4 linked regions of the Saccharomyces cerevisiae S288C genome follow. The protein of the gene in region 2 interacts with the protein of the main gene of each other region in a biochemical or structural test. Each region holds a gene or a part of one and is shown on either strand. Other genes may lie near its edges. The genes, in order: CMK1, GRX4, BUD32 and BOL2.

Evidence for each region.
Region 1: the proteins of GRX4 (region 2) and CMK1 form a complex in vitro, tested with the Saccharomyces cerevisiae proteins (2 studies listed by BioGRID, with this or other methods).
Region 3: of the proteins of GRX4 (region 2) and BUD32, one has a biochemical effect on the other in vitro, tested with the Saccharomyces cerevisiae proteins (2 studies listed by BioGRID).
Region 4: the proteins of GRX4 (region 2) and BOL2 form a complex in vitro, tested with the Saccharomyces cerevisiae proteins (one study listed by BioGRID).

What each region holds. Positions count from the first base shown.
Region 1 is NC_001138.5:168,061-175,415, forward strand, and holds CMK1 (calmodulin-dependent protein kinase CMK1), read right to left. Parts: upstream 5,818-7,355; coding exon 4,477-5,817; downstream 1-4,476. Other genes in the region: DCV1 (Dcv1p), read left to right, coding at 1-436; YFR012W-A (uncharacterized protein), read left to right, coding at 1,164-1,250; IOC3 (Ioc3p), read left to right, coding at 1,862-4,225; glycogen (starch) synthase GSY1, read right to left, coding at 6,205-7,355.
Region 2 is NC_001137.3:535,908-544,222, reverse strand, and holds GRX4 (monothiol glutaredoxin GRX4), read left to right. Parts: upstream 1-5,054; coding exon 5,055-5,789; downstream 5,790-8,315. Other genes in the region: ECM32 (RNA helicase), read right to left, coding at 1-2,533; YER175W-A (uncharacterized protein), read right to left, coding at 3,409-3,573; TMT1 (trans-aconitate 3-methyltransferase), read left to right, coding at 3,860-4,759; RAD24 (Rad24p), read right to left, coding at 5,944-7,923; ATP-dependent RNA helicase BRR2, read left to right, coding at 8,202-8,315. UniProt on the Saccharomyces cerevisiae protein: Monothiol glutaredoxin involved in the biogenesis of iron-sulfur clusters. Binds one iron-sulfur cluster per dimer. The iron-sulfur cluster is bound between subunits, and is complexed by a bound glutathione and a cysteine residue from each subunit.
Region 3 is NC_001139.9:1,011,018-1,019,640, forward strand, and holds BUD32 (serine/threonine protein kinase BUD32), read right to left. Parts: upstream 6,743-8,623; coding exon 5,957-6,742; downstream 1-5,956. Other genes in the region: TNA1 (Tna1p), read left to right, coding at 1,468-3,072; APL6 (AP-3 complex subunit beta), read right to left, coding at 3,304-5,733; SAY1 (steryl deacetylase), read right to left, coding at 6,950-8,224; methionine--tRNA ligase MES1, read right to left, coding at 8,581-8,623. UniProt on the Saccharomyces cerevisiae protein: Component of the EKC/KEOPS complex that is required for the formation of a threonylcarbamoyl group on adenosine at position 37 (t(6)A37) in tRNAs that read codons beginning with adenine.
Region 4 is NC_001139.9:75,042-83,236, reverse strand, and holds BOL2 (Bol2p), read right to left. Parts: upstream 864-8,195; coding exon 501-863; downstream 1-500. Other genes in the region: ERMES complex subunit MDM34, read left to right, coding at 1-359; NIF3 (uncharacterized protein), read left to right, coding at 945-1,811; EDC1 (Edc1p), read left to right, coding at 2,051-2,578; Golgi transport complex subunit COG1, read left to right, coding at 2,872-4,125; SDT1 (nucleotidase), read left to right, coding at 4,380-5,222; VRG4 (GDP-mannose transporter), read right to left, coding at 5,330-6,343. UniProt on the Saccharomyces cerevisiae protein: Involved in the regulation of the iron regulon in response to decreased mitochondrial iron-sulfur cluster synthesis. May be involved in mitochondrial organization and biogenesis.

The sequences.
Region 1 (7,355 bases), on a different chromosome or scaffold from region 2:
CTGCTCTCGAGTACGTTTAATATATAACACCTCGAAAGAAATATTACCTGGCCCTTCTCTTGAACGTTGGTGGCTGAGTCCTAAGGCAAGACATACAATAGGAGGACTTTTGATTTCGATACCGGTTGCTACATGTTTGACTTTCATTTCTTTTGCACTTCCCTTGGTTATTATTTTTCTTTTTCAGACTGGAGGAACTAATGTCTCACTTATTACTTCCAACGCTATATTACACATATTGACACTTTTATCAACTATTTTTGCATGCACCGTGATCCTGTTACTTTGCATGCACCGTGATCCTGTTACAATTTCATCCTTATACGACTTGGTGTGGCTGGCTAACTGTTCCCTGTTCCCTCTGCTCGTTATTGGCGTGCATTTTCTCAGTTTTAGGTTTGATACGTCTGCGCAGTCAGACAGAAAACATAGCTAAAGAAGCTAGTATAGAGAACGTAGACAGTATTCTCAAACTATATGGAACGAGTCAAACATCAAGTTCCCTTGGCGAAAATTATCCACAAACAACTAAGGGCACAGACCAATCTGTGTATGACATCACAAGTCTTTTTAATGATCTACCAAGGACCTTAGATCCCAATCAAGATAAACTGGCGGTAACAAATCAAGATGAACCACCGCCTGAAATCAAATCTCCATTGAAGCAAGCAGGTTTGGTGAGTTTCTTCGCTCCAAAGTTGAATGGTAAACAAATATTTTCTAGAAGGCATGTTGAAAATCAAAAATCCTTATCTTTGGATGAAATCAATATAACCGACTTACCTGCAAAGCAAGAAAATGTGGAAATGCCTACTGAAAAAAAAAAGGCAAATATTTTATATTATGAGGGAATCTCAAGCCATTCACAAGATAACTACGACCCTCCTTGGTTATTTGGCGTTGAGGCTACCCAATCAGCCGATTGCTTTAAAATATATTCAAAAAAAAATCATTGTCTCACAGAGCCCCGCCAATATCAACTACAACAACCAAATAATTACCAGGATCAAAGTGAGGTTCCTCATAACTCTTTCATTCCTTGGTATTCCCGAAGAAGACCAGTAGGATACAACCACAATTACAATCGCTACTACTCACAGACAACTCATGGTAACAGCGAACACTCCCGACAAACATTGCCACAGACCTACAACATACACAGCATGCTCCCCAGAAAGTACAAGCCCGCCTACAAAAAACAGGCACATCGTGTGAAGAGTAATCCACAACCAGCTTATACTTTCCAATGACAAAATAACAAGAATAAAGTACTATCCAATCTGCTTTTTTTGTACGCGTTTTGTTGGCGCGCCGCAATTTGAAAAATAAGAATAAAGTACTTCTTGCTACTATTTAATGATTCCATCCGTATTCCACATCGTTGACGTCTGAGTCTGATAGACTAGTATATAGAAAATAAAAATAAGATAGAGTAAATAGTATGCTACTTTTATCGAGCCCATCTTTTTGAGCTTAATTTCTGAAACAAAGAAAGGAAGTGCCCATTTTTCCTCTTAACGGTTTCTAAAATTACTGAAGAGAAAACAACTTTTAGATGTAATTTATTTACATTAACATTAGCAGTGACTACAGAGGACAGGTATGGCGGTATGGCGGTATTTGTTAACATTGACTTTCCTTATGCGTGGAAGTACTAGTAATATTCCCTCTCGGATCATAAAAGTGAAATATCGTGCTTCACGATTTGCTGAAACTTTAACAAATTCATTGAAATTACGTGAGTTTATACTAATGAATGGACTTAATTTCTTAAGATGGTGATATCTTCCACATTGGTTTCGGCCAACAAAACTATCACTTACCAAGTACTTCAAGCAAAGTTTGCAATCCCCTATTGTTTATGGATTCTCCATCCAATTCTATCCAGAATTTGCAGCAAGAAGCCCAGGGCAGCTCTTCCGCACAGCTTGCTGACCATGATCATGATCGCGTATCAATGGCTATGCCCTTACAAACCGATCAAAGTGTTAGTGTTTCACAATCTTCTGATAATTTAAGGAGATCAAGACGTGTTCCTAAGCCAAGAACGAGCATTTATGATGAATACGAGGAAGAGTTAAAGGAAAGGGCGAATAAACCCAAGAGGAAGAGACCTGCTCCTCCTAAGAAAAAGGCACCTTCCACACAGAACTCTAAATCAAATGATAAAGTAGAGAAAAAGAAGACTACCTCAATTGCTAAGGATGGCAAACCTACACTGAAGACTAATGACAAAAAAGTGGCGCCGAAACCTAAACCAGCCCATGAACAAGTAGAACCCGCTTTGATCCCTAGCAATTGGACTTCTGTAATACCCTTGCTTACTTCTGATTTCAAGAACCAGTATAGTGTCATCTCTAGGTTAAAAAATCCGAACATGAAGCCTGTGCCATATGCTGGAGATATCATTAAGCTGATGGCGTTCATAAATAAGTTTAGTTCTTTTTTCCATTCTGACCTACAAAATTTATCATTCCAAGATTTTGAGGTCGGTTTAGATTTGTATCCCGGCGATCCTAATGGAAGCGCAGCTGGTATAGTGAAGGGTCCTGAAGACACCTCCTTATTGCTATATCCTGATTTTATGGCCATCAAGGATATCGTCTATTGCCAAGACAAAATGAATTTACTGTTCCTATCCTTGTTAGATTTAACATTTACTGAAAATTTTGATGGTAAAAGTGCCAAGAAGAAAGGTCCATTAACAACCTGGGAGAATCTAAAATCGTCCTCCAAGAAAGTATTTTCCAATCCTCTTTATCGGTTAAGACTTGTAGCTCGCGAATGGGGGTATCCACGAGAATGGCGTCAACAACTCCCCAGTGACCAAGATATCTCCAAACCTAAAACTGCTCTTTTTGAACAAGATGAACAAACACCAGTGGTGGATCCCAGTCATCCAGAAATTTTAACGCCAAATATATATACCTGGAATGCTAATGAACCACTCCCATTGGAATCAAATCCTTTGTATAATCGAGAAATGGACAAGAATGGAATTTTGGCGCTCAAACCAATGGATCGCGTTGTTTTATTGAGGGCGTTAACTGACTGGTGCGCTTCCCATTCATCTGCTATTCATGACGAGATATACAAATTAACTCATGGTAAAAAAGATCCCGTTTTTGGCATCCAAACACAACAAGTGCCTAGGTATACAATTGAAGGGGTAGATAATACCATAAATCAGTTTAAAAAACTCTGCTCACTAATTCAATCAAGATATGAAATCAGAAGTAAGAAAAAACATTTTGTTAAACAACTAAAAGAGGGTAAAAAACCAGATTTATCAAGGAAGCTAGAAATACTGAAGGAAATTAAAGCGGAATTGAAGAACGCTGTAAAATCCGAAAAGGATGAACTTTTGTTCTCACTGTACGACAAGTGGGTCCCATTGTTTGAAGGCGAATTACCTGATCAACCATTAGCCAATCCTTTTTCGGAAAGACTTTATAAATTGCGATTACAAGAGTTCTTCCTTGGTAGAGTTCCCCATATAGGTGATTTTTATATGCCAAGATTACACAGTTATGGGGACTCACTCGAAATGAGCACCTTCACTGATTTGAGAAATCTACAAGCATTGCTATCGAAATTCAAAAATAATGAATACAACGCTTTTACACTGTTTGAAAATGATGGACAATCGATGAGTGCCCAATTCAAATTGTTTTACCATGACACACCATCGTTGGCGCATGATGTTGCACGAGGCAGAAATACATCGGGGAAGGTTTATTGGTATGAATTATGCCACGATTCAGCAACACTGCTGGAGTTCTTGGAGTTCTTGGACTATAAAATTGTTAAACCTCAAGATGAGAAAAAGGAGGGAAATGAAAAAGAAAAAGAAGCACTGAATAATGAAGCGCACATATTGGAGCAGAAATCTACCACTGATAATAATCCCTCCATAAATACAAACCCGCTACCAAAAGACGCAAAATATAACACTGCGAGAAAGAAGTTACAGATATTAAAGGAATTTTTATCTGATTACTATTTCATTCTTCGTCAGTTTGAACAAATGAAAGTGCAATTTGCAGACATGAAGCCAGGCAAGAGACAGTTGAGAAGGATACAGCGACAGACTGTAAACTATAATACGGAATATGATAGCGAGGAATATGTCGATGATGAAGAAGACGACGAAGCTGATATTTATGATGACAACGACAATGATTCTTCTTTTGATGATGGTAGAGTTAAAAGGCAGCGCACTTAGACAACTAGCTTTCAACGAACGTGAAGATTGTGAAACTCCTTACAGGCTGCATTTCGATTAATTAAGTAATGTAAAATTAAGACTATTAGTACATAATTAGATACGCGTATCTTTTCAACTAAGGCATAAAAAAAAAAGGTAGAAAGTGAGGACGAAAAAGTGCAAAATATCAAAGTCAAATCTTGCGCATATTCGAGCTTACAAAGTCATTGAAGATTTATTCGCCAGTGTGGTAAAACGGCATACTGTTATCATTCTTCTGTTTTGGTATCCTTCCCCTCTGGTTTCTCCTTCGCCTCATCCAAAGACTTTATATCACTCCCAGGAAGATCGCTATCAGAACTACAGACTCTGTTAATATTTAAAAATTTTTCCTTTTCGGCAAGCACTGTGTTAACTAATTGTGCAAAAGCTTTGCTGGTTAACTCGGACTTCAACTTAGACTGTTCTTCTTCTGATAGCTTCTTGGATAGTTGACTGGTATCCGTTGCTTTCAATGGAGGAACTGAACCGTTTGCTTGACTTCCTTCGTCAAAATCTGAATCACTCTCTGTCTGTTCAAGATACAGATCTCTTAATTTCTGGATCTTCATGTTTAATCTGACTCTCTCAACAGAATTACGGAACTTTTGACGAGCATCCAATCCTTCCTTTAACCCAGGCAATAAATTGTGCGTCTTCAATTCGGTACAAATAATCCATGGATCTTCCAAGAGTTCTGCGGCGGTCGGTCTCTTTGAAGGATCCAAATTAAGAGCCTTCAAGATGAATTGTTTTGCTTTATTGGAAACGGAATCCCAATAAGGCCTATGAAACTTCACTGGATACTCACCAGTTGTGCATTCGTCAAGGAAATCTTGAACCCTTTCGGCTCTAAACGCCGAATAACCGCAAAGCAAAGTATACGTAATGACACCTATCGACCAAATGTCGCAAGGTTTACCATGACCGTCCTGAGTAAGTACCTCTGGAGCCACGTAACCCAGTGAGCCTGCCGGCTTATAGAGGAGTTCCTCATCACTTTTCAATCTCTTTGCGATACCAAAATCAGCAACTACCAGTGGAGATTCGTCACTTTTATCTATATACAGTAAATTTTCCGGTTTCAAGTCCCTATGAACAATATTCTGAGAATGCATATATTTGACTGCGCTCAATATTTCAACCAAAATTCTCACTGCATCTTCCTCAGTGAACTTACCCTTCTTCAAAATCCTATCGAACAATTCACCCCCTTTGGCTAATTGCGTGATAATGTAGAACTTGTCTTTTGATTCAAACCAATCCTTAAATGCCACTATATTTGGATGATGCAGTCTTTGTAAAATGTCTAACTCGTCGTATAAAGCCTCTAGCTGAACCTTGTTTCCCTTTAGTGCTTTCTTGATCAGGATTTTAACGGCCACGTCCTCCCCTGTTTCAGTGTTTTTGGCTTGTCTCACCACACCAAATGTACCAGCACCTAATGTCTTCCCAAAAACATATTTTTTTTTATTCACGTACGAAGCAGGCTGCACATGTGCCATTTTACCTTCAGAATCCTCCTCTGTTTGTTTTGGGGAGCTCTCCTTTTCTGAAACTTTGTCGTCCATAGTAATTGACTCGTTATTTTTTCTGGTGTCTTCCAATATTATATAATTGTGAGTTCTCTACGAGAATTGAAACCATTTATACTCTGGCTTGTAGTCGATGTGGCTTTCGTTCTTTTTATCCCCTGCGTAGGTAGCTCGGCTGCACCATTCTAAACGCGGGGGGAGTTTCTTTTTTTTTTTTTTTCAGCCTTTTCTTCGTAAGCAAAGTATCCCACGTAAAAGGTTCCTTATACTAACACATATGTACTGTAAAGGTAAAATTACTTCTATTTTTTCTACTGCTATTATTTCTATGTACTTATACAAGAATAACAGAACGTGCAATACTAAAATTAATTTGATGCTCAGCTAAAAGAGTAAGATATGTTAGCAGAAGTTAAGATGGTTTTAATTATCCTCGTAGTATGCAGACGTATCGTTGTCATCATCGTCATTGTCGATGGCTCCATTCGTGCTCAAATTAAAATAGTCATCTGCATTATTAGCATCTTGAAGGGTACCTAAATCGCCCGGAGTCATGTAAACAGTACTATTGGACCTTACTTTGGGGGATCCGGGTACACTCAAAGGCCTGGCAATCTTGAATTTCTTGCCACCGGCAAGAGTATTCATATTGGCGTCACTAATTGTTTCACCCACCAGTTGCTTGAACTGCTCTGGATAGGCCCTACGAAGACCCAACTGTCTAGCCTTAACGTATTCCAACCCCATTCTCTTCCAATCTAACAAGTCTGATAGTCTTTCGGTTCTGTTTCTTTGGTTGATTCTTTGTCTTCTGGTCTTGTTTACAAACTCTTCCATGTAGTCTGCTAATTGCTCGACAGATTCATCAGGGCTCTTGAAACGACGGTCTACAATATAAATACCATAGTCTTTCGCTTGGTCTGTTTCAATCAAGTCTTCCATGTAGGCACCGAACCCAGAAACGTTTGTTGTGATAGATGGGACACCCATGACGGTACATTCTGCTGGCGTGTACCCCCATGGTTCGTAATAGGATGGAAAAACACCCAAGTGACAGCCGCGAACAAACTCGTCATAATCCAAACCAAGGATAGGGTTATTGGCGTTTAAGAATTCAGGATGGAAAATCACTTTTACACGATCACTCGAATCATTGAATAATCTAACATGTCTAATTTGGTTTAAAATTGGATCGTTAGCATCATCGCACATGTTATGTGTGACTACCGGAGGCAATTCCCCGTAAGGTCTTCTCAGCGCCAATACCCTTTTCTTCAGCAAAACCTTTTCAGAACTCTTCAACAGCTCATCTAAATTAGTGGGCAACTCTGATTCTAGGCCATTATGAGGGTATCTCATCGTATGCTCGAAAATTCTCTTCCCAATGGATGCGGTGACCTCATTAACAGTATTTTCCAAAGATTTTACAATGGCTTGGCTTTTCAGTGCCTCCACAGTGAAGGAATTGGTTTTGGCAGGCATGATCAAAAACGCTACCACCGTCTTCTTGGATCCAGAAACCTTCAATCTGTAATTGAGACGAGCCAATGATTCAATGAACATGTCAGCACCTT
Region 2 (8,315 bases):
CGAAGACAAAATTTCTTATACCTGGTAACGAAAGTGGGACTAGTGTTGAAGCCTCTGATGATTGTGTAGCCTCATCCATTATTACCACGGGACATTCTTTTATAACCTTCAATTCACGACCACCTGCAGCAATGTTTGTCGTGAAAATTATTTGCGATTGAGATACGACCTTGTTGGTGACACGGTTTTTCTCTTTATAAAACTTCGTGTCCTCTGATTTGGAGATCATTTCGCCCCTGCGGGTTTTGTTTGCCACGACTTGCATGTCTGGGGAAAGATTTTTGTATACAATATTGTGGAGACAAATTTCGCCCAATGGGTGGTCATCACTATACTGTTGTTCTTTCTTCTTTGACAAAATTCTTAAGATCTTTATCTGCGGTCTATTCTCCATAATCTTCTCGGCAATGTTATCAATAGCAATATTTGACGCGGCAACACACAATATTGGGAATGCGTGAAATCTTTCAATTACTTGGATGATTATCTCCTCTATTGTTGATGTTTTACCTGTACCAGGTGGGCCTTGTAGAATTGTGATACTGTTGTTTAGAACATGTTCCACTGCAGTCTTCTGAGATCGGTTCAACTTGTCACTGGAAAATTTTAGCCTGTTATCAAAATAAATCTCTTTAATAGGCTTTTGGCCTAGTAATAGGTCAATAAATTTTGGGTTTGTAATACGCGTCATGGCAAATAGAATTCTACTTGTCTGCGCAGAAGTTGGCAATAGCTTAAATTGAGATGAACCATTTTTCGTTGGCAAACTCAAATTATTCCACGAAAAAAGCTCCACTAACAACACGTATTTACCCCTTTGAATAGAAAGTTCTTTGATAAAAATATACCAAACTTTTTGTTCATCCTGAGTACAAAAGAAAAATGGTTGCCTTTCATTAAATGCCGGTCTACCGAGTGCAAGCAAATTTGCAGGTAGTAATTTCTCAAGTTCTGAATTATTATTCTTCTCAACGTTGATTATAAAAGCTGTATCTTTTTCATTGCGAGGCCATAGTATGTTGAAGTTTTGAACAAATTCGTTCTCTAATTTCTGTTCCAAAAAAAGGGCAAATGAGTAATCATTTAGGTATGTGTTCAAATCGGGGTATGATAAGGTTGACTTAAAGGTATTATACCTTGTGAGTGGTTCACCTTCTTCGTAAATAAGTTTCCCGTCCTTAGTTTTTCCATTATTTTTCTCTTGATTTTTTGTCTCCAACTTTTTTGGCATCGTTGTTGTTTTTGATTTTTCATTCAGCGTCGGCTTGCTAGCCTTCTTATTGCGGTTTCGCGATTTAGTAATTGAAGTTGTGTTCTCGTTTGGGCTAATACTAGGTTCTCTAGAAGATTCAGTATCAGATCCAATTGTCCACCTGCTAGTTCCCTTATTTGGCTGGTTATTTGATTTTTTGCCAAGTGCATTCTTTCTGCCAGCTGAATTTAGTTTGGCCTCTCGCGGATTCTTATTACCCGTTTTATCATTGCCCTTAGTCTTCTGGCCAGCATGGTCTTTTTTCCCTTTTTTCAAACCAGTAGTATTAGTACTGCCCGACCCGTTTCCATTCAAAGCTTTTGGTTGCGGTAATTGGTGCTTATCCACTGATTCGTTCTTGCCTTTCCCTCCAGAGTTTGTTGTAACGTGGCTATTGGTATTTTTTCTGTCCTCTGGTATAGGTTGGCTGTTACGGACATTATTTCTAATGTTTGTTTTCCTCTCTTTCTCTTTTCCTATCCCATTTCCACTATTCTTTTTGTGGTTTGCCTTATTTCCTTTCCCTTTGTTTCGATTTGATGGGCCAGGATTACTTCTACTAGTCTCTGATTTGCTTACTTTTGCTGCAACTACTGGATCGCTTTCCACCGCTTTGAAACCTTTGAAGTTTCTTAGATTGGAACTACTAGAGCTTTGAATGGTACTATTTTCTTTCTTGACTTCATAAGCGATTCTACTTATTTTGGCCTCGAAAGTTTCCTTTTTCTCCTTCTTAATCTTAGCACCCTTCCTGCCCTTCTTTCCTCTACCAACTCTTCTGCCGCCCTTTTTTCTAGGCTTTCTAGTGCTATTCTGTGTTTCATTCAGTCCCAAGTAGATGTATAGGAATCTTCCACTTTTTTCAGAAACAAAGTCTTTAGCTCTATTCGATTTGGGCAAGCACTTGTCACATAATACTTCTCCATTTCTATTTGCATTCAAGTTAGACTCTTCCCCACACTCATCACAACAACATTCCCTGACTTTCACGTACTTTTCCCAAAATTTCAATATAGAGCCGTTTTGTAATGAGTAGCTAGTTGATGGACGCTCCGTTTCTGAATATTCTTTCCGAAAACACGAATTACAAAGTAAAACCATGTCTTCACCCCCAAACCTGATGATTTGAAGTTGGTGTATATTTTTATCTTGACATTCCTCACAGCAAATATCTTCATCATTTGAAGTGTCGAATACAGTTTTATGCCTCGTACTTGAGAGATGCTTCATCATCTGCTCAGCATCATAAGCCTGGCTACACGTTCTGCACTGAAAATCCATCGTGTAGTACTTCTTAGTCTGCGGAACTCCTTATATTGTCACAACTTTGTTCGAATTCTTCAAATGATGAACTTACATTATACATCACTCTTGAGCATTTTAAGACTCTAAAATCGCATACAAATAGCATCCATTACCCGACTACACAGGAATAAAATACGGCGGAAATATAAAAAAAAAAAAATAGCGGCATCTTCAATATCTCTGTACTGATTACTAAATAGACGGTAACCAATTCACGTTGCCGATCGAGGTGTGACACATCACTGTCATGTTCATTTTACAATTCTTATTGAGTGAGAGCGCTTGTATAGAATTTCTATCTTTCTTTTAAGAGGTGCAGTTCAAGTAGGATTTAGTTGGAAATGATAACTTGTTTGAGTAAGCTTTGGTTCCGCTTGTTATGACCTGCTTCATTCTCATATAACCTCATTTGTTAAAAATCTAAAAAAGAATCAATTTCTTCGATTATAAGTGCGTACCAAAAAAGCGGCTAATTTTGGTATTTGTGATATCAAATATACATTGCAACCCAATTTTCATCATTGCGCTTGAGTTTACTATTTCAAGTCGGTGTGGTGAAAGGTCTCTCCAATATTTGGGTACCAATTTATCGAAGCAGCTGAAATTTTACGATGTTAGATCGATTCCCGTGTCTGACAGTGTTTGGGCTGCAAATTTTTTGTGCTTCTTGAAGGCAACATGTGAGATCGGGAAGTAAAGCCCGCCAGAGTATGTTCTCAGTAAGTCATATTGACATAACACTTGGATCAATTGCGTATTTAGAAATTAATTCCTGTTTTATTTTAAGATGCTGACATTTCAATTATAGATTTTTAGCCTGTCTTATACCACCTAGAATAATTTGCTAATGTTTAGAAACTGATCTTGGTGCTCACGCTAATATTAAAAAATATACCCTGCCTCAATATCATTATGAGTATTTTATTCTCAAATATCATCCGCGAATTTTCTTGCAGAATATTTCTACAACCACGTTTGTTTTGACTAAAACAGATAAATGTTTTATGTAGTCTCATGCATTGTTAAATGACCAATAAAAAGGGTGTTCCATCAACCTATCTAATCAGAAAAATTAGGTGCAATTCTGCCGTTGTTTACTATAAATGAATCACACCTTATGTGTTGATGTTCATGACTCACAGTAATATCCTTTTTTTTTCTGGTTTTCCGAAAGTTTATCTTCCTTATTTTCATTTTTAAAGGAAAAGGAATGTAACTAATTTAGTATGTTTTCGTTGTAGCAGTCTTTATTAGTTGTTATGAGAATTATCTCCTAACAAGATAACAAAATAAGTGATAATAATGTCTACCTTTTCTGCTTCTGATTTCAACTCAGAAAGATATTCATCTTCAAGACCTTCTTATCCCTCCGATTTTTACAAGATGATTGATGAATACCACGACGGAGAAAGGAAATTACTCGTAGATGTTGGCTGTGGACCAGGTACTGCCACTTTACAAATGGCTCAGGAGTTAAAACCATTCGAACAAATTATCGGAAGCGATCTCTCCGCTACCATGATTAAGACTGCAGAAGTAATAAAGGAAGGAAGTCCTGATACATACAAAAACGTTTCATTTAAGATTTCTTCAAGTGATGATTTTAAATTCCTAGGCGCGGATTCAGTAGACAAACAGAAAATTGATATGATTACCGCAGTAGAATGTGCTCATTGGTTCGATTTCGAAAAATTTCAGCGATCTGCTTATGCCAATTTGAGAAAAGATGGTACTATCGCTATTTGGGGTTATGCGGACCCAATTTTCCCGGACTACCCTGAATTTGATGATCTGATGATTGAAGTTCCTTACGGGAAGCAAGGACTGGGACCCTATTGGGAACAACCGGGGAGATCTCGCCTTCGTAATATGCTGAAAGACTCTCACTTAGACCCAGAACTTTTCCATGATATACAAGTTTCATATTTTTGTGCAGAAGATGTGAGAGACAAAGTAAAACTCCACCAGCATACAAAGAAGCCATTGCTAATCAGAAAGCAGGTCACCCTAGTGGAGTTTGCAGATTATGTCAGAACCTGGAGCGCTTACCATCAGTGGAAGCAGGATCCAAAGAACAAAGATAAAGAAGATGTAGCAGATTGGTTTATTAAAGAGTCACTAAGGAGGAGGCCGGAACTTTCCACCAACACCAAAATTGAAGTTGTTTGGAATACTTTTTACAAACTTGGCAAAAGGGTCTGAAAATTTCAGCCAATAAGCATTATATTCGTGAAATTTTAGTAAGAGCGCGCGTTTTAATTGGTGAAGCCTCGCGACGTATTCACAGATGTCCTAGAAAAAGTTACCATATCTGAAGACTGGTTGATATTTAGCTTAAATAGCATATTAATACTGTACCAGTTGAACCATTTTTTAATCTGTTACTGCCAGGAACGTTGATTCGTTTTCCCGGTAACATTGTTGTCTTTGGGTACTGAGCATATTTCATTTTTCCACTTACATATAACTAAATTTCTGTGCTCTTCCTCCAATAAATATGACTGTGGTTGAAATAAAAAGCCAGGACCAATTTACGCAACTAACCACTACAAACGCTGCTAATAAACTCATTGTCTTATATTTTAAAGCTCAATGGGCTGATCCTTGCAAAACTATGAGCCAGGTGCTAGAAGCTGTTAGTGAAAAAGTTAGGCAAGAGGATGTCCGGTTTTTATCAATAGATGCAGACGAACATCCAGAAATATCAGACCTTTTTGAGATTGCAGCCGTACCATACTTCGTCTTCATTCAAAATGGTACTATTGTAAAAGAAATATCAGCCGCAGATCCTAAGGAGTTTGTGAAAAGCTTAGAAATTCTTTCGAATGCTTCTGCCTCACTAGCGAACAATGCCAAGGGTCCTAAATCTACGTCTGATGAGGAAAGCAGCGGGTCTTCCGATGATGAAGAGGACGAAACTGAAGAAGAAATAAATGCTAGGCTGGTGAAGCTAGTACAAGCTGCACCTGTGATGCTATTCATGAAAGGAAGCCCATCAGAACCTAAATGCGGATTTTCTAGACAGTTAGTTGGTATCCTCAGAGAACACCAAATAAGGTTCGGATTTTTTGATATATTAAGAGACGAAAACGTTAGACAAAGCTTGAAGAAGTTTTCTGATTGGCCTACTTTTCCTCAGTTATATATCAATGGGGAGTTCCAGGGAGGTTTGGATATTATCAAGGAATCTATAGAAGAAGATCCTGAATATTTCCAACATGCTCTACAGTAAGCCTTATTTTGTAATGAAAACTATATTCATACATATATACATATTAATATATATGTATATATTTTTATTTATTAATTTATTCTAGAATGTAATGTGCATAGATTTGTGTGGAATATTTCCTGGGGTTTTCTCGTCAAATTTAAAGAGTAAAAAGTTAGAGTATTTCCAGATCTGAATCTGAAAGGGACTCACTGATAACTGGCGCTTTACGCGGCTGTCTCTGGGACAGAATTTCACATAGAGACTCGTCTTCGTCGCTTCTACCAAATGTTTCATTGCCAATATTATTGCTGTTATCGCTATCGCTATCGACAATAGGGTCATCATTAAAAGAAGTTTCTTCGTCTTCAAGATCGTCGTTAGCCATCATCACATTTCTTTCATATTGGTCAATCAACATGCGAAGCCTTCTGTCCCTTTCCTTTTTTTGATCCTCTAAATGGTCACAATTATTGCTATCATTATCCATCAATGGTGCTAGTCCATCCTCCACAGATAGTGCTTCGATAGGCCCGCCTATCCGATCCACAACGTCGATTCCGTTCTCAACTTTCATTATATCACTAAATTTGTCCATGGTTTGTTTGGGCCCCGAGGAGCCACTCGGAAGATTCTTCAAATAATAGAGAATGTATTTTTTTTTATAACTCTGACACTTTCTAATTAGAGGTGCGTAGTAGCCAAATTCTAGAGTTATATTCCTGAAAGAATGTACCGCGTTGTACTTATAAAGACTAACATTTAACCAATCTTCAGCTTGAACTTTAAATGAATTTTGTAATTTTCTTACTTTCCATTCTCTTGGAAAATAAACCGTTCCATGATTATGGCCTTGTTTACTGATGTTACGAAAGGTTTTGCGCACTTCTCGTAAACCATACTCATTGGATTCTGGTAGACCATTCATATTATCACACTCGCTCAGGCAATCCACAATTGATGATGCATCAGAAATGCTGAATTCGCCTTTATTAAATGTGTTATAGTTCTCTAATATTCCTAATTTGAAATCCTCTTTCGATAACAAATTGTTCGAATTTTCGAAGAGGTTATTAATCATTTCGTTATCGTTATTCGTGCTATGGGAACCATGTATCACCTTCCCAATGGCATGAAAGTATGATATGGTGGATTCTCGGGTTGAAATCGGCAAACTTCCACTTGATGTCGCCCAAAATTGAAGGGTCGTAATGGCCGACCTAATATCACCAGTCTCTTGCGCAATATAATCTATGACTTCCTGTCTTTTATTCCATTTATTTTTCTCCTTCAACATTTTCATATTCTGTACACAAATAAATTTCAAGTGCTTTTTTAATAAAGTGCTGTTAATTGGATTAAACTTAATTCTTTTCAACCTTGGATGCATCAATATTTCTTTGTTCATTATGGTTTCTGCACTAAATGTATAATCAATACCAAATTTGCGATAATTATTATCGTTCTCTGGAATTTCACATTCAGTTATACATATAACAAGGGGAGGTAATAGAGGCTCCGAACTATATAGCCACTGTAATATAAGTTGTTGAAATCGACGTCTGGTATCTATATGGAAGACGTTGGGAAGGTCCTCGATAAGTATTAATGACAGGTTGGACATCACAAGATACCGTGCGCCTTTTAAGAACTCACTAAAGCTTTCCATCTGAGGAAGATCGTTGACTATACAATCACCTCTAAACTCGGTCACTTTATGCTCGTTCGGGGTGCTTCGAAAGGACGTTCCGTTGCTGTTTTGTCTGTATTTAGGAACTAAGATTTTTGAGAGTTCTTTTATGACCGTACTTTTAGAGCATCCACTGGGGCCAGACAGTAGTAGGATCCTATGCTTGGCGTTAGGTAAAAACATGGCATCTAAAGCTTCTTGTACATCTTTAAGTTTTCTTTTATGTATGGCCACTTGCTCCAAACAATTGGGCTTGAACTTTTCGTACCACTGTTCACCGCCGTCGTCGTTGATACTTGGGAGGATACTAGACGTATCTTGCTTGGAAAGAAAGTCATTTTCAGTGCTTCTCGCCTTACGAACTGGCGAAGTCGGTCTAGATGAGCTCCATTTTGTTATTTGCGAGCCCAATGAACTGAGACTATATTGTAATAAGGGCCGTTTGTTCAAATTCGTACTATCCATATCATTCAGACAGGAACAAACTTGATAATTAGTGGTGTTGAATCAAGTACTATTAACGCATTGTGATGATCTCTCAGATATCAATGCGTGTTTGCTTCTTTGACGATCTAATATTGAATATTGTCGCTCTTTACGAGAATATTAAAAATTTATGCTACTAAAGCTATGTCTACTATAAAGGAATAATACACTAATAGAGATAATCTTGAGTAAAATAAGGTGAAGGTAAATATAAGTAATTGCTTTGGAAGATTTACCGTGAGCCTTCGTTATTAAAAATGACTGAGCATGAAACGAAGGATAAGGCCAAAAAAATTAGAGAAATTTATCGTTATGATGAGATGTCCAATAAGGTGTTGAAAGTTGATAAACGCTTTATGAATACCAGCCAA
Region 3 (8,623 bases), on a different chromosome or scaffold from region 2:
TATTGGGGTCACACCACTCATTGACTCACATCCTCTGGAAACATCAAAAAGCTACCAAAAAAGAAAAAAAAAAAAATTCAAGTGCGAAGTTTCCGCATATGCAAACCTTACTTATTGTATAATATTGGTAACAGCAGCTACTAAGCTCCCTGACTCTGATTTCTCTCTCTGTCTCTTTTGAGGAGTACCTTCTGCGCTACTGTGTTCCAATGGTATCTGCGCCTTGAAAATCAATCACAAACGCTCTTGCTATGGCCTGCCTTGGACACGATACGTCGCTGCTTATGCCGCCAGGTGTCAGTAAATGCTCTGACGCACCCATTCACCCCGCGCACTAATTTGCAAAATTTGGGGGCAGTTTGGGAATACTCCATAGAAAAAATCGACTTCAAATCAATTCCGCACAACGTCGCCGTGTTGGCTAAAGTGAACGGAAAATGGACGACATGGTAAAAGAACAGATATGTACATATACAGAAGCCGCGATTTCACATGCCGGCCATTATGGCACACAACCAGGTCTTGTACTGTCACTATGTGCGTTCCGGAACGCCTGTACAGTCCATGGTGAACCATTTATTTATTTATTATTATTATTTTGTACATTATTATTTATGCTATATGTTATTATTATTATCACTATTTAATATTATTATTCGGGTCCAGGTGAAATAACAAAGTCTGGCGCCAGTCACTTGTCTGGGTGCCCGTATTCTCTGTTACAGCGGTATCCCTCTGGATTCTGCAATCGTCGCCGGCTTCTACTAATTTTTCCTTTCCTTTTTGTTTTTTTTTTTTTTTAGTTTTTTATTTTCTAGTTTCCTGCTCGTATTCTGTTGGTTTTTCCAGTGTCTCTCTCCTTTTACAAGTCACCCATTCTCTGCGAAGAAGCGGTCGCACCAACAAAATAGAAAATACCACCGGACGCCGGATCGCTTATTACTCGCAATCATAGTTACCAATCACAGCCGGGCATACTCGGGATCTACCGTAGAATCCTATGCGTCACACATGAGGACAGGTTACGAACCGTCGAAGGCTTCGCGGCGTGTGTGATTAGTATTGTTTTGACCTCATCCATACACCCTGAAATATCTGTCGCATCTCCGATTACGTTAAAAATTCTGGATAATATATAAACCATGAGTTTTCCTTTCTTTGAAGTATGTTCCTACTCGAGATCCTTTTGTTATTTTATTGCCATTTTTTTTTTGTTTCATATGTACTTCTTATCTACTATTTATATTTCTCTATATTAACTAACTCTCCAAGCTATAAGCATACGTCCATATTTACTGTCTTAGAAGTCGTATTCACATCACAGTTTTCCCCCTCTTCGCCTTTTTCAAACTATTTTCCCCCGTGAGACAGCGACTGAAAAAAAAACGACTGCGCAGAAGGCTTATATAAAAAAAAAAAGAAATATTTCTTCACTTTCGAGCATTGAACTATTGTCATTACCTCTAGATGAGCAACAAATTTACAATGGAGTCACCTAAGCATTTGGTGGATGATGTGCTTTTCATATCACCCACCAATGATGGATCAGAAGAAAAGCCTACGGAAGTCACGTTCCAGGAAGATGAAGGCCATGACGCTAGCTTGCATAATCGCAGCCATGACAAGAAGTCGGAACTTGCCACCGAACGGGAAATTATGGCTACTACCACGGATGATGACGGCATCCCCTCCCCTTCCCATCCAATGGAAAAGCGTGTCTTGCGCAAAATGGATATATACTTGATTCCTCTTATGGGGATGCTATATTTCCTTTCTAACCTGGATAAATCGAATATTGGTAACGCAGAAGTTGCAGGTCTATCCAAGGATATCCACCTTGTAGGAACGCAATATAACACATGTGTCACAGTTTTTTTCGCGACGTATGTTCTTTTCGACCCCATAGGTACTAACCTTCTGAAAATTATGGGTCCGCCATTAATGATGAGTATCTGTTTGACCTGTTTCGGTGCTATTTCGCTCGGAACTGCTTGGGTTAAGAATTATGCTCAATTGATCGTTGTCAGACTACTACTGGGTGCCTTTGAAGGTATGATTTATCCCGCTATTAACATGTACCTTTCAGTCTGCTATAGAAGAGAACAATATGCTCTGAGGTTCGCTTTTGTCTTCAGTGCAGCCTGTTTGTCTTCATCTTTTGGTGGGCTGATTGCTTATGGTTGTTCCAAAATCAGCGGTTCTCTAAAGGACTGGCAATACATTTACATTGTCGAAGGTTGTATCTCTTTGGGGTTCGTACCATTCTATGCCTTCGGGTTGAGCAAAAATTTGGAGGATTCGTGGTTTTTCAATAAGGAGGAAAAAGAGTACATTTCCGAAAGATACAAGACTATGAACACTTTTGACCCGGACGAAAAATTTGAATGGTTCCAAGTGTGGCAAGCAGTTAAGGATGTCAAGACTTGGGCTAGTGCTGTGGCATTATTCGGTATCGATTTGACTACTTTTGGTCTAACAGTCTTCTTGCCGATCATCATTACCAGTATGGGGTTCACTAATGTCAGAGCTCAATTAATGACCGTGCCCATCTATTTCCTTACAGCAATTGTGTTCTTCATTTGTGCCGTTTGGTCTGATCGTATAAAGTTGAGATCTCCATTCATCCTGGGTGCTTGTCTGACGACTTCGATAGGCATAGCTATCGTCCTTGGTTCTCAAGTTCATGGTGTGAGATATTTTGGCGTTTACATTCTTTGTATGGGTATTTACGTTAATGCTGCCTGTAACTGTTTATGGTTAAGTGGTAACACTGGTAATTACTTCAAGAGAGCCACCGCTTTAGGAATTAATCTATTTTTCGGGTCTGGTTCAGGGTTGGTCTCTGGTCAAATTTTTGTTGCCAAAGACAAGCCAAGATATATCAAAGGGCTGTCGATTAGTCTGGCCTTTCAAGTCTTCTCCATATTTATGACGGTTGTGCAAATTTTCCTATACAAGAGGGAAAACGATAAAAAGAAAGCAATAATAGATCGCTGTAATGAATTGGGAGAGCCTATTCCATACGACGAAAGGTTAAGCGACAAAAACCCTGAGTTTAAGTACATGTATTAGGCTTGACTTTCTTCACCCTCCACTTTTTTTGCCCCTCGTTATGAGTGTGTTTGCAATTTGTAACTTTTCTTTTATATTTGTATGTATTTTTGTACTAAGCAAATTCACATGAAACTTTGTTTACCAACTTCTCTTTTGTTTTCGTCCCAAACACGTATATTACTGGGAAGATATACATGCCTATATCTATATCTATAAATATACATATTTATATAGTATTATCTCCGAGTTCTAAAGCTCCAGATGCGAAGAAGACGTTCCCGAAGAAGACGTTCCCAAAGAAGAGTCACTATACTCATCATCGTCACTGCTCTCTTCCGATTCGTCTTCATCCTCGTCACTGCTTTCTTCCACCACCTTTATAATTTTCCTTGGTTTACTCTTCCTTTCTGGAATGTCGGAAAAAAACTCGTCCAGGCTTTGCAAACGATATTTCTTCCCGTTTTGAGATGTGAAGGTGTTTACGTTACCTTTACCTGAGATGCTATTGCTATCGCCGTCATTGATCCCAGTCAATTTTGCGTTGGAGCTAGATGTGAAAGATCTTGCTGAGTTGTTGGTAATAAAAGACTGCGATGAAAAACTTTTTTTGTATTTGTTATAGTCTTTCAATTCTGCGCCTTCTCTAATATCGTTACCTGTCTCGCCAACCTCAGTAATTTCAGTATTCCAAGGAAGCATTCTAAAAAATTCTTTTATTTCTGGGGTATGTGTTTCCAATCTTGCAGAAACGATAAAATCGTCACTTCTTGCCGTAGGTTTAGGTGCTTGTAATAGTAGTGACACAATTTCATATTTCCCTGAATCAAACAAGGATGAAATCATCCTGGCTCTATCCCTAATATCAAATTCGTCATCATATTTTGCCAAGTAAAGGACCGCATTGTACATTTGAGAGATTCTTGAACCACTAAAATCATAGTATGGGGGATTTTGGTTATTTTCTTCGCTTCCAGTAACTTGCGCTTGCTTAAAATTATCAATGTCATATGACAACAGTTTTGCTGATAACACTAAGATCTGACATCTTGTCTCAGGACCCTCATTTGAAAAATTCTGGATTAGCCTCCTCAAAACGTCCGGACATATCTTAAATTCAATCGAGGCAATTTCACCAAATAACCAAACAATACCTGCACGAGCATTATCAGCCAAACTCGTTTGAACTGTTAATAAATCTGCAAGCTTGAAGATTATGCGAAGATGTTTTGTAGGATTTTTTTGCACCAGCATCCTGATAACATTCACGTATGCATCTAGGACAGAAGCAGAGAGGTTGTGGGATTCCATATGATCAATTAACCACTTCATTACATGTGATTCCCAACTCGTTGACAATTGGCCACATCGAGATAATGACTTAACCGCCATAATAACAACATTTTCTGGGAAATGAGCACTGGCAACATAATATTTCAATTCTTTGAATATTTCTTTAACGTTTGATTCATTTATTAACGTGGACAAAATTTGGATCTTCCAAATTGATGCCACAATAGGATCTTTGGGGAAAACGTAAAATTTCTTGGTGTAGGGTAAAAATAGTGTCTGGTCTAAGATCGATAAGAAGTGAATTGCTTGTAAAAGCATTTCTTTGTTACCTTGGTTTTCTGTCATGGTTACCGTTCTAACCAATGCTTCAATAAATTTAGTATTTTTCATCTGCAATGGTGAAGCTAACTGATATAGCGCATTGCAACACGATAAAATCACTGTAGGGTTGGAACTATAAATTAAGCAATTCAAACTCTGTAGAAATAAATCTAAATCAGGGTCATTTACCACCTCGTAAGATGGGTATTCAATCTCGTTGTATTTATCTGGTAAAGGACAACTCCTTGGGGAACCTTCTGATGATTTATCGACCACAGTTGGTTTTGGTAAATACTGCTTACAGTACTTGATTAGCAGCTCAATTAAATATGATTGTGACCACGAATCTAGTTGCTTAATTATTCTACAATATCTGCGAAAATGTCCATGCAATAGCTCCAAGTGATCCGCATAACATTCTTTGTAAGCTAGGACAGCACAGGATATCACCTTAGGATCTGTATCTGCCATTAATTCTTTCAGAATATCCAACAATTCTTCATGATAGTCATTCTTTCCAGCCCTATATAATTTGATAATGGCCAAGGCGACTTCACCACGAACCATTGCAGATGGATCTGTAACCAATTTCTTGACAGTATGCAAAATTATAGGTGCTAATGATGACATTTTCATGTCAGAAAGGGCACTCAAAGCAAAGCATCTCAGTTCGGAATTCGAATCAGACAATGATTTTTGAAGAGAATTAATAGATAACAGGGTCAGGTTTGGGTCATTTTCTGCAAATCTAAGTAAATACAGGTGAATAAGTCTTTTCACTTTGGTGTCATTAGTGGTGATATTCTTTACAACATCAGCAAAGTATAATTGAACGTCAATAGAGTCATCATCGGAAGCCATTATAGATATTATTCTCTTCATTGCATCTCTAACTTCTCTAGAGTTCCTAGAATTTAACAAGGTGACTAACTGTTGAGGATTGATGTTTTGAGAATAATAAGTATAGGAGGATTCACCCAGCTTAGAGGTGGCTACCGCGGCAGCTTCCCTCGTTATTACTTTGGCCGTATCCAACGCCGATGCAATACGGTGAATTGAATCTACCATTGCTGGTTGTCCACTTTTCGATTGTTTGCTGTCTTTGGTTTACCTTTCTTTTCTTTATATATTTATATATATGGTTCTTCAAAAATGATTTGTCTGAATTTGTCAAAATCTCAATAACTCGGACACGCTTTGATGGTAACATACCTAAAAGTTATGTACGTTAATATAAATTATAGATACATATTATGTGCAGCGATATACAGGCAGTACGCTAGCATTTATATTATCCTAGCATACTTCTCTTACGACCACGCAACCTGACCTCTTCGAATCTTTTGGTAACTTCTTTCAGTTTCTTGGCACCTTTCGCACCTTGTTCACGATAGACCTCTTCGAACCCCTCCATGATCCAAGCATTGTATTTTTCCGCATGCTTCGAATGTGTACTTAAAATAGCTCTCTCTAAGACGTATAAATCGACGCCTTTATCTTCGACCAGGTTTGAAACTGAGCCCAGACCGAAATCAATCAAATGAGGCGTCCATCTCGCACCATCTCGCACGAGAACAATGTTAGAACTTGTCAAATCACCATGACAGTAGTCATTCCAGTGCAACAACCCAATTTGGCGCCCCACTTTCCGTAGTGTAGTTGCTACAAGATCACTATATGGATCTTGGTCATGCATCCAAAGGAAGTTCTTTAGGTTACTAAAACCGTGCCCTCCGGGAAGATCTTCTCCAAGGAACTCTAACCAAATGAATCCATTGTATGGATCACACGCTATCAGTTGAGGGACACATAGCCCTGGAATCAAGTATAATTTGGCCAATAAACGCGACTCATTCAACGTACGATGTTTTGTTAGTGCCTGGTCTATTTGTGGATGTCTATAACGCTTTGGTGGCCTATATTTGATAATATACTTTTGATGAGAATCCTTTGCTCTTGGGAGATATGGGTGAGTAGTCGTTGTGAAAACAATGGCTTCTGCACCTTGAGAAATAGGTGCAATGTCCACATCAGGAGTCAGGTAGGAAGATACTTTATCAATGAATTCTTGCGTCATAATGAGCAAAGCGTATAACCTTTTCCGCTGTCGTATTCATCACTTATTTGATTTCAAGTAAGGTTATCTTTGTCCTTCAAGTTGGTGATGCGCCGGCGATTTTTTCAACCTTGTTGCTGCTAAAATAATGGAAAATCAAAATAAATTTGTGCTGACCCAAATATTTATGTATATAAAAGGGGTTATGTAATTGTCATTATGACAAATTCAGGATTGCATAAACTCAAGAATGCGAGCGATAGATGGTATGTTGGTCCAGCGATCCATATTACGAGAGTAGTTTAATATTGGGCCCGTATGATAACCTTGGTGTTCAACCAGCACATTTTTGGCGGTAAAGTGGTTACATCCCTCGCTAGCGTCACTCATTTTCTTTGCCAAGATCTTGTTTTGAAAGCTCAACAACTCATCACTACCATAAGTAATCATCACAGAGCACTTTTTCAGAATATCTTGCCACATTTTAGTTTCGAAATTCTTTTCAATATTAACAAAAGGGTCGCTGGTAAAATCGACGTTTGGGTTGTTTCCTACAAACATTCGCCCAAACATCGAATGACTCTTCAAACATAGACCATCCCATTCTTGTGTTCCTTGCATATATTCCTTTTCTCCCTCGTGGAAGAAAGTGGCATTGGCCCAGGGACTTATGGCTATGACTTTTTTCGGGTATATTTCTCTGTGACACTTTCTTAAATATAAAACAATGTTCAAAACAGCATTGCCACCAGCAGAATCCCCCATAATCACTACATTTTTGCACCCCATAGTCTTAACAACGTAATCAAAAATGGCCACATTTTGTAAAATTTGCAGAGGGTACTTTTTCGACTGGTCATCGGTAGCTGTAACGGTATAATCTGGTACAAGAATGGCCATTTTAGGAAAGGCATTTCGCATATTATTCAAGAAAGAAAACGACGTAGGCGTCAATTTAAGAGCATAACCACCCCCATGATAGAATACTAAAACTGGATCTGTCGTGGGGTCAAATCCTTCCGGCATAACATATTGATAAAACTTTGTGCTAACTATTTTGGGTGCGTTTAATTGATGGTCTTGGAAAATATTGTTTTCTGGAGATTTCTGATCTTCTATAGGAATGTTGCATTTGACATATGTTGGACTAGAAAATGTAGAAGGATATAAACAAACAAATAAAGGATTGAGCACGTATTGACAGATGCGTTCATCGAGGATCCAAGAACTTTGTCTTAAAAAACTTCTGTTGACATGGTCAAGGCAAAACCTACGTTTGCGTTGAAAAATGATCTTCATACTGTCGAGGATTATAAATACAGGCACCACTGTGAACAATAGAGCGGCAAATTTCAATCCATGGAACAAATGCAAATGGATGGTACTCAATCGAAAGCCCGCATCATTTTGATCTGCATCCTCACTTGATACAGCGCTAATAATTTCATTCTCTTGAAGCCGATAATATTCAACTTTTGAGTCGAGACCAGAGTTGGCTGCCATTCTTCTTTGAAACCTTTTCCTTTAAAATTGATTTGTGCTGTTCTCATTTCAAGCGACGCAGGGTATTTTTGGTTTTCAGTTTCTTTTTCCCTCAATTCTATATAATTATGGCGCTAACACGTTAAACATTTGTTATTATAAAGCAGAAGTTATTTATCAGAAATCAAATCATGAATATTCTCAGCTTAACACTACACAATTACTCAACTAAAAGAAAGGGTATAAACGTGTTAGCGGGAGAATTGTTTTTTAAACTTGTTTTTATATCAGAGTAAAATCTATATATTAATTGATACACTTTTATCATGTGAAGATTGAAAGGGAAAAGAGAGGAAAAAAAATGCTTCCGATGAACCTTACACTTGTTGACCACCATATTTGGCTCTCCATTCATCGATT
Region 4 (8,195 bases), on a different chromosome or scaffold from region 2:
GCAACGACGACAATGCCAAACCAAGGAGAAGAAAGATCAAATGCAAAAAGACCCGCACACCATCGAACCTACAATCACAAGGAGAACAGGCTGTTGATGATAGTACTGCTATTGAAACAGTTACGTCCACACCGGTCCAAACACCGATACCCGAGCTTGAAGAACAATCTCCCCCATATTTGAAAACAACAGTATCGATAAGGGATAAATACGTTATACCAGAAAAAATATCGCTAAATTTGGACTCCAAGAAAGATACATCTAAAAAGAAACCGTTTTACTTCATAGGTTTGAACTCGCAAGAACCTTCAAATAACTGGAAATGGGGCATGGAGGATAGCCCCCCACCATATCATTAAATTAAGTTACATATCTAAGTACATAACTACACAAATACATACTCTCCGATGTAAATAACGTAAGAAAGCAAAATCGTCTATGCCAAAAAGATTCAATGCCGTCTCCTTTCGAAACTTAATAATAGAACAATATCATCCTTTTCATACCACAATCTTAGACCATTCCTCCTCAGTGTAGCACTTGCAGCTAAAGGCATGAATCTCCTGCAGCTCTTCTTTCACAGCCTTGTTCACTGCACGACTCCTCATTAGTTTGCTTTTACCTTGAAAGAAGTCGCTGACCACCACAATATCAAACGACTGACCACAACCGTACGAAAGATCCGTCACAATGATATGGTAAACTTGCGGTATGGCTGATTCTATCCTCTCGCGGAGTCCCTGTTCAGTAACGGGCATCTTATAGTGTCGTTGGCGCTTTGTTTCTCTCCACTGAGTTGTTAGGAAATGTGATTTTGCAAATTCGTCATTTATTTTCACCTTTTCAATTCTTTCACCTGTCATATATATGTATATATATAACACCGAAAAACTTATTCCAATACACAGTCGGAAGGAAACAGAACAAGAGTCCACCGAAACGCAATGAGCAGAGCTATTACTAGAGCACAATTGGACAAACTTGTGCGTAGCATTACCAAGTTCTACCCTCAAAAGTACGCAGACAAGAGCTGGGACAATACGGGTCTTCTCATCGATTGTTCCACTGCACAAGTCACCACTGCCGATGCAAACGCTAAAACAAAGGTCCTTTTGACTGTAGACCTCACGAAGTCAGTTGCTCAAGAAGCTGTGGATGCTAACTGCAACGTAATTGTTGCTTACCATCCTTTTATTTTCCCAAGCTGGAACAGATTAAGCCCACATACAAACCCACAACACGAGACAGCTATAAAGCTAATCCAGTACGGAATATCCGTATACTGCCCTCACACTGCCGTAGATGCCGCTCGTGGCGGTGTAAATGACTGGTTGGTTAGGGGTTTGAACAACGGAGAGAACGTCGCAAAGTCTTATGCCTTGGAAACTGTAAGTGGCGAAACTGACGACTTGATTGGCTACGGTAGATTCGTAGAATTCAATAAAGACATCTCTTTGGAGCAAATTGTCAAAAATGTCAAGCGTGTTTTACGGGTTCCCTATGTACAAGTAGCATCTCTTGCTGCTCCATCCGCATGGAATCAACTCAAAATCAAAAAAGTCGCTGTCTGTGCCGGGAGCGGTTCTGGCGTGTTTAAGCAACTAAAAGAGGACGTAGACCTTTACTATACGGGAGAAATGTCACATCATGAAGTACTGAAGTGGAAAGAAATGGGCAAGACCGTTATTGTTTGCAACCACTCAAATACTGAGCGTGGATTCCTTCAAGACGTTATGAAGGGCTTGTTGCAAGATGAGGGCCACGAAGTAGTCGTAAGCAAAATGGATTGCGATCCTTTGACTGTTGCATAGCTGCTAGTAATTATATGGCTATATAGGATATCACAAATACCATACGTACTACAGTTTTATCATCCGGCTGTTCGTGTAAAATGATGTTGTTGTATCGGATAGAGAAATACGGATAGAAAAGGTAAAAGTCTTCAAATAACAAGGACAATAACATACTCTGTATTGAAGACGAAGTACTCAGCAAAGCGTAACGTAATTACACTTAGCACACAAATATACTCACACAAATATTACAAGGCATGTCGACGGATACCATGTATTTCAACAGCTCCAGGCTGTTGCCATCGGCTGGCAGGAACAAGACAAATAATCTAATCAAACAAAAAACTAGAAATAATCGTGCGAGGGGAAATGCTGCTAAGAACGCCAATAATAACAACTATATCACAGATATACCACCTCCTCAAACTCTTCCTAACGGTCAGAAACCTAACTTCGGCCATTCTTCCAACAAGAAACCATCATTTAATCAAAAGAAGCACTCTCCACCTTCTTCCCCTTCCTCTACAACTACTTTAGGTAAAAAAAACAGACAGAATAATAAAGAAACGCCACGACAGAACAACAAAGATGATACTCGTTTACTGAGTCAGAACCTAAAGAATCTGCTTCTGAACCAGAAACAATCCCCGCATGGCTCTCAAGGGATAATACCAATGGGTTGTAATGGCAGTGCCAAAAAACTCAGTCACTCTTATGCAGGCTCCACTTTCGCCACTAATGGTCCAAGGGAGGCTAAAAACTTGCCCAAACCAAGTTTTTTATAATCACCCTTTAGAGAGACATTTTTGATTTTTTTTTTTTTTTTTTTTTTTTTTTTTTTAGAATAATGCATATTTTTATTTGATATATACCTATGTACCAATTATACGAATGCTTATGTCTGTTTTGGATCTGGTCATCCAAAGCAATTTCTCAGATGACAATTTTTTTTTCCTATTTTCTGTTACAGTTCATCATTATGCTGAAGAAAAATGAAACATGGCGGTGAATAATAAATAACACATTCGTACAACAAATCTTGTGGTAGAAAACCTAAAAAAAACCAATACGATAGAAAATGGATGAAGTCTTACCATTGTTTCGCGATTCTCATATTCCACAGATTAAAGATTATCAATTGGAGTTACAGAACGATTTGACTAAAACCAATGAGGCCTTCCAAAAGAATTTGCTAAAGAACTATAACAAGATCTTAAGCTTGACCGATTCTGTTAATGACTTGTCGCTCAATTTGAAAAATGTTGATCAAGATTTTAAATCCCTGTGTTTCAATGATGAAAAATTTCAGTTGAATAAGTTAACTCCACTACCATACCAAACCACTACCCATATATCACCACCTCGTGACGAAGAAAAAGTCAGCATACCATCGCAAAACATTTTAGTAATTTCAAATTGGACCATCTCCATCAACAACTTCTGTAATCGTATAGTTACTTCCACTACTCCGTCGCGGATATTCGACGAGCTACTGTTGAATTTCCACGAATTATCTTTGATACCAGTTCCTTCCAAATTTGAAGCGCTTGTCAAGGACAAATGTTGTCGACTACAGAAGTTCTTGGTGGACTCTATGAAGACATTAAACTTAACTTTACTACAGTGGGTAAAACTATACAATTTACTAAACACGGAGTTTTCCTCGAAGTGGGACGATGATTTACTTTCTATATTCAATGAATCCCTATTCGAGACACTATTTAACGATAACGTTCAAGCGTTACTGATATCAAGTGCCAACAGCAAAGATCATCAATATCACTCCAATCAGCAATATAAGGACGCGATTGTTGTCGATTTTGTGAATTCGTCCACCTTTAGAGACCATCTCATTCGGAGAACCGTGAAAGAAATAAACACACATTTGGATACACTCTCTACTTTGAGAGCCAAGCTTAAGGAGCCTGAAACTCTTCATAAATTAGATATCTTCCATGATAATGATACGAACCTCAATGATGGCACTGTATCTCCACTTGATGATGATGCATTGAAACAATATATTGATACAGCGGTATTCTATTCAAAAGGTTTAACCAATGATACCACGTTGCAAATTTATCAAACGGTGCAGCCTACGATTGAAATCCTACAAAACTTAGAATTGTATAAATGCCCTCAAGAGACACTGACAGATTTGAGAAATAAATTGATTACTCAATTGCAAGAGTTTAAGACTCAGATCTCATCCCGCTTACCTTCACCACTGGAAAACTCAACGAGTGTTGTGGATGATTTTATAACTTCGTACAACAATCACAATCTCTTGCAATTAGTCATCGATCAAATTACTCAATTAAGGCAACAGTAATATAATAGCACGAGGGAGGGTACCCGCCTCGCAAACTTATTGATAATGATAATGGTATGGGCGTTGATATATACATATATATATATATATATATATATATATATATATACATAATATATATATGTTTATCTGTGTGTATCTATGTGGACTTCAATAAGTGATCGCCTTCTTGATATCATATTACTCCCCCATTTCACCTGAATTAATTTCGGAATACATGAGTAAGCTCTTGGACCGAATCATTACTAGGCTTCATGACTGTTGAATATACTGCATCCGATTTGGCAACCTATCAGAATGAGGTGAACGAACAAATTGCCAAGAATAAAGCACATCTTGAATCATTGACTCATCCAGGTTCGAAAGTGACATTTCCGATCGATCAAGATATTTCTGCTACACCTCAAAACCCGAACTTAAAAGTTTTCTTTTTTGATATCGACAACTGTCTCTATAAATCATCCACGAGAATTCACGATCTTATGCAACAATCTATACTGAGGTTCTTTCAAACACACTTGAAACTATCACCTGAAGATGCTCACGTTTTGAATAACTCTTACTACAAAGAGTATGGACTTGCCATAAGGGGACTTGTAATGTTCCACAAAGTGAACGCACTGGAATATAACCGGCTTGTGGATGATTCCTTACCACTACAAGATATCTTGAAACCTGATATACCATTAAGGAATATGCTGTTGAGATTGAGACAATCGGGAAAGATTGATAAATTGTGGCTTTTCACCAACGCTTATAAAAACCACGCAATACGTTGCCTGAGATTGTTGGGTATAGCGGATTTATTTGATGGATTGACATATTGTGACTACTCTAGGACAGATACGCTGGTCTGCAAACCACATGTTAAAGCATTTGAAAAAGCCATGAAGGAAAGCGGGTTGGCAAGATACGAGAATGCTTATTTTATAGATGACAGTGGGAAAAACATCGAGACAGGTATCAAATTGGGCATGAAAACATGTATTCATTTAGTTGAGAATGAAGTAAATGAAATTTTGGGGCAAACACCAGAAGGCGCTATTGTCATTAGTGATATATTGGAGTTACCACACGTTGTGTCCGACCTGTTCTAAGGTATATCAATTTTAAGTATAATTGTATATAAATCTACTTGCATTAGATGCCTCTATAAAATAAAATAAACCAAAAAAAAAAAATAAATTGCACCCCCCGTAAGTTCTCATTTACGTAAAGGTTGGGCTTGTTGCTTCTTTTGTTTGGCAACAGCATAAATAATACCTGATAGGAAACCAATAAAAATGGAGAGAATAGATAAGAAGTTTCTTGGAGCATCAAAGAAAATCAAACCAGACAAGGCAATTGGCAGCTTGTTCAAAGCCCCTACCATCGAATATGTAGTAGACGAAGTAACACGAACACACCAACCGGAACAGTAAGAAATACCGACGGATGCAACACCACTGATGATCATAGCAGTTAGCGAATCGTTAGAAAAGTTATTGGTCAAATTAACTGAAGACCAATCTTCCACACAGAAAGAAAACAGCAATAGAATAGGTAGAGCCAAAACATTGTTGTAAAACATAGTGTCGAAATCCTTGAAGTTAGTTAACTTAATTCTCTTTCTCATTATAAGAACGAATAATGCAGAAGTGATACAGTTGGTGAACATCCAGAAATAACCTGGGTTAAAGGAGGCAACAGCACCGGCTGCTCCTTCAGCCAATGAAGCAGCCTTGGCAGCCACAGCTTGCTGGTCACCCCAAGTTGCAACGACAGAAGAAAGGACCATCAACAAAAATGATGACAATTCCATGGAGGTGACAGAGCCACCAAAAAAGAGAACCTCACCATAAGCAATCAAGATAATAGTCAAATTCTTGAAAATGGTGTAAATTGGAACAGCCAAGTATTGTAAAGCCTTCGAAGAGGTGTAGATCATCAAGACCAGTAAAAAGGAAATAGGGAACCAGTTCTTGGCGTCTGTTTTGTTTAATGAACGGAACTTCGCATAGCCCAGTATACGTAGGATAATCAAGGTTATAGTACAAACCAAAGATTGCACGAAAAGCATGACAAAGTTCATGTTGAAATCCTTCAAATTGACGACGAACTTGTTAGTCACCGTCATTAAAATAGAGGAACCACAGTAGGATAAAATAGAGATCGGACCGGAATTGGCAACTGAAGCCCAAGGGTTATGGCCTGCATGACCTGTTTTCAATTCAGACATTCGGGCGAAAGATACTGTGTGGTTAGTGTGTTTGTTTTCTTAGGCTCTTTTGGTAATTAAGAGGATGTCAACAATTAATCGGCAACAAGAAATAGGCTTGGCAGCGTTATATATATTCTGTTTTTCTGTTCATTGTTTGTTCGGATCGCGAAATTTCAATTTTTTTCTTTCTTTTTTTTTTTTTCGGCCAAAACTATTATCCAAGGCTGGGTAAGAGGATTCTGAAAAACCCGTTTAGCTTTTCGTATATTGCGATTCATTACGCGTTTAGGCGACGTGTCTTCTTTCGTCAACTGTGATATTTTTCGTGTTATGGGCGGCTAATTCTTTATAAAAAGGGAAATTTAATCATTATGGCAAACTCAAATGGTGTTCCTACATCTATATACCACCATGCCACTTTGTACCACCAGTCATATATTTTCTTCTACTCATAAGGGAGCCGCATATATATATGGCGCACATTGCCATGGTCCATTACAAGCTTTTTTCTCGTAGCACTTTAGAATGTCTATTGAGTTGCAATATTCAGGCAAAAATGCGTTCTATCTTCAGAATGTAGCTGTTGAAATTGTTGTTTGACTTTTTTTGGACTAGTAGCCGTCTTATCGAACCAAATAGAAGCATATGTTACCTCATTATTCTCTCAATATGGTATTGGAGCGGGTGTGGGTGTGTTCCTTTTGTTCTTAAACGATAGGTACGCATTAAACACCGCTTATGCAGATGGTACATCATATACTGCTTATACCCTTTCCTACTTCAGATGAATATGCAAAACATGTACCGCAATGATGCGAGAGTAACTTTAACAAGAGCTCTTTCGCGTGTGTAGCGATAATATTCAGGGGCGACAAGTGTAGTAATGAAGATATAGTTCTCACCGGTACCTAGATGTCACTACTCGGACACCAGATTACTGTAGCAAGCAAGGTCAATGTCGAGACTAAGCATGATCATAAGTATTGGCGCCCGACATTGCATTTTTTTCCTTGAGATCATATCACAGTGCATGCCATCACAAATAGTTACTTTGATTATTTCAGTGCCATCGCATGACTTCAGTTTTATTACACCTTTAATGATGTAAAAGCGCCGTCAAGATACTAATATAGACGCACGAGTTTCGTTCGCGCGTCTTGGTGAGATTGAAAAGTTATTTTGCCTTTCTTGTCGAGATGATGGTATTTCCCTTTTTTATTTAACATTCATTAATTCCTACCTGTAGTTATCAACCTTTACAGCAACGCAAGTGAAGTGGCTTACTATATAAGCGTAACTCCAATGTGCTTGGTTAGTTTTGGAAAATTTCAAGGCGTTGTTGCAGAATTGTACCTTTAAACATGTCTACAACAACTATGTGGATGTAGCATCTCTATCATGACGCAAACGCAAACATCTCTCTCTCTCTCTCTCTCTAAGTCGCATGTTAAGGCCGATAGTACTGGTTTAACAGGGTTTGCCAAGGCCTCAATCGTTAAGTTAGCTTCTCCACTTTCCCCAGCATCAATCTTATGGTATGATCAACAATCTACGAGGAATTGCAGAAATGATACCTGTATCACAAAGGAATTTGCGTATCATAGCGTCAACTGGAACCATGGATGGAGCTGAGAATTTATTCCTCATAAACGAATTCAAGTTTCTTTCGCTCTGCCAACACAAAAATTTCAATTTCTGTCCTACTTATGTCCTATGAGAGCCATAATTTACACCTCACGTACATAGTTGCGGTAATATGATAAGTACACTTTTTCTGTGCTTCATTATCGTAGCGATAGGTATACCACTCATCGTAAGTGTGGACGTAGCGATGGAGGTTTCTGTGCCATTACCACCACAACCATTCTAC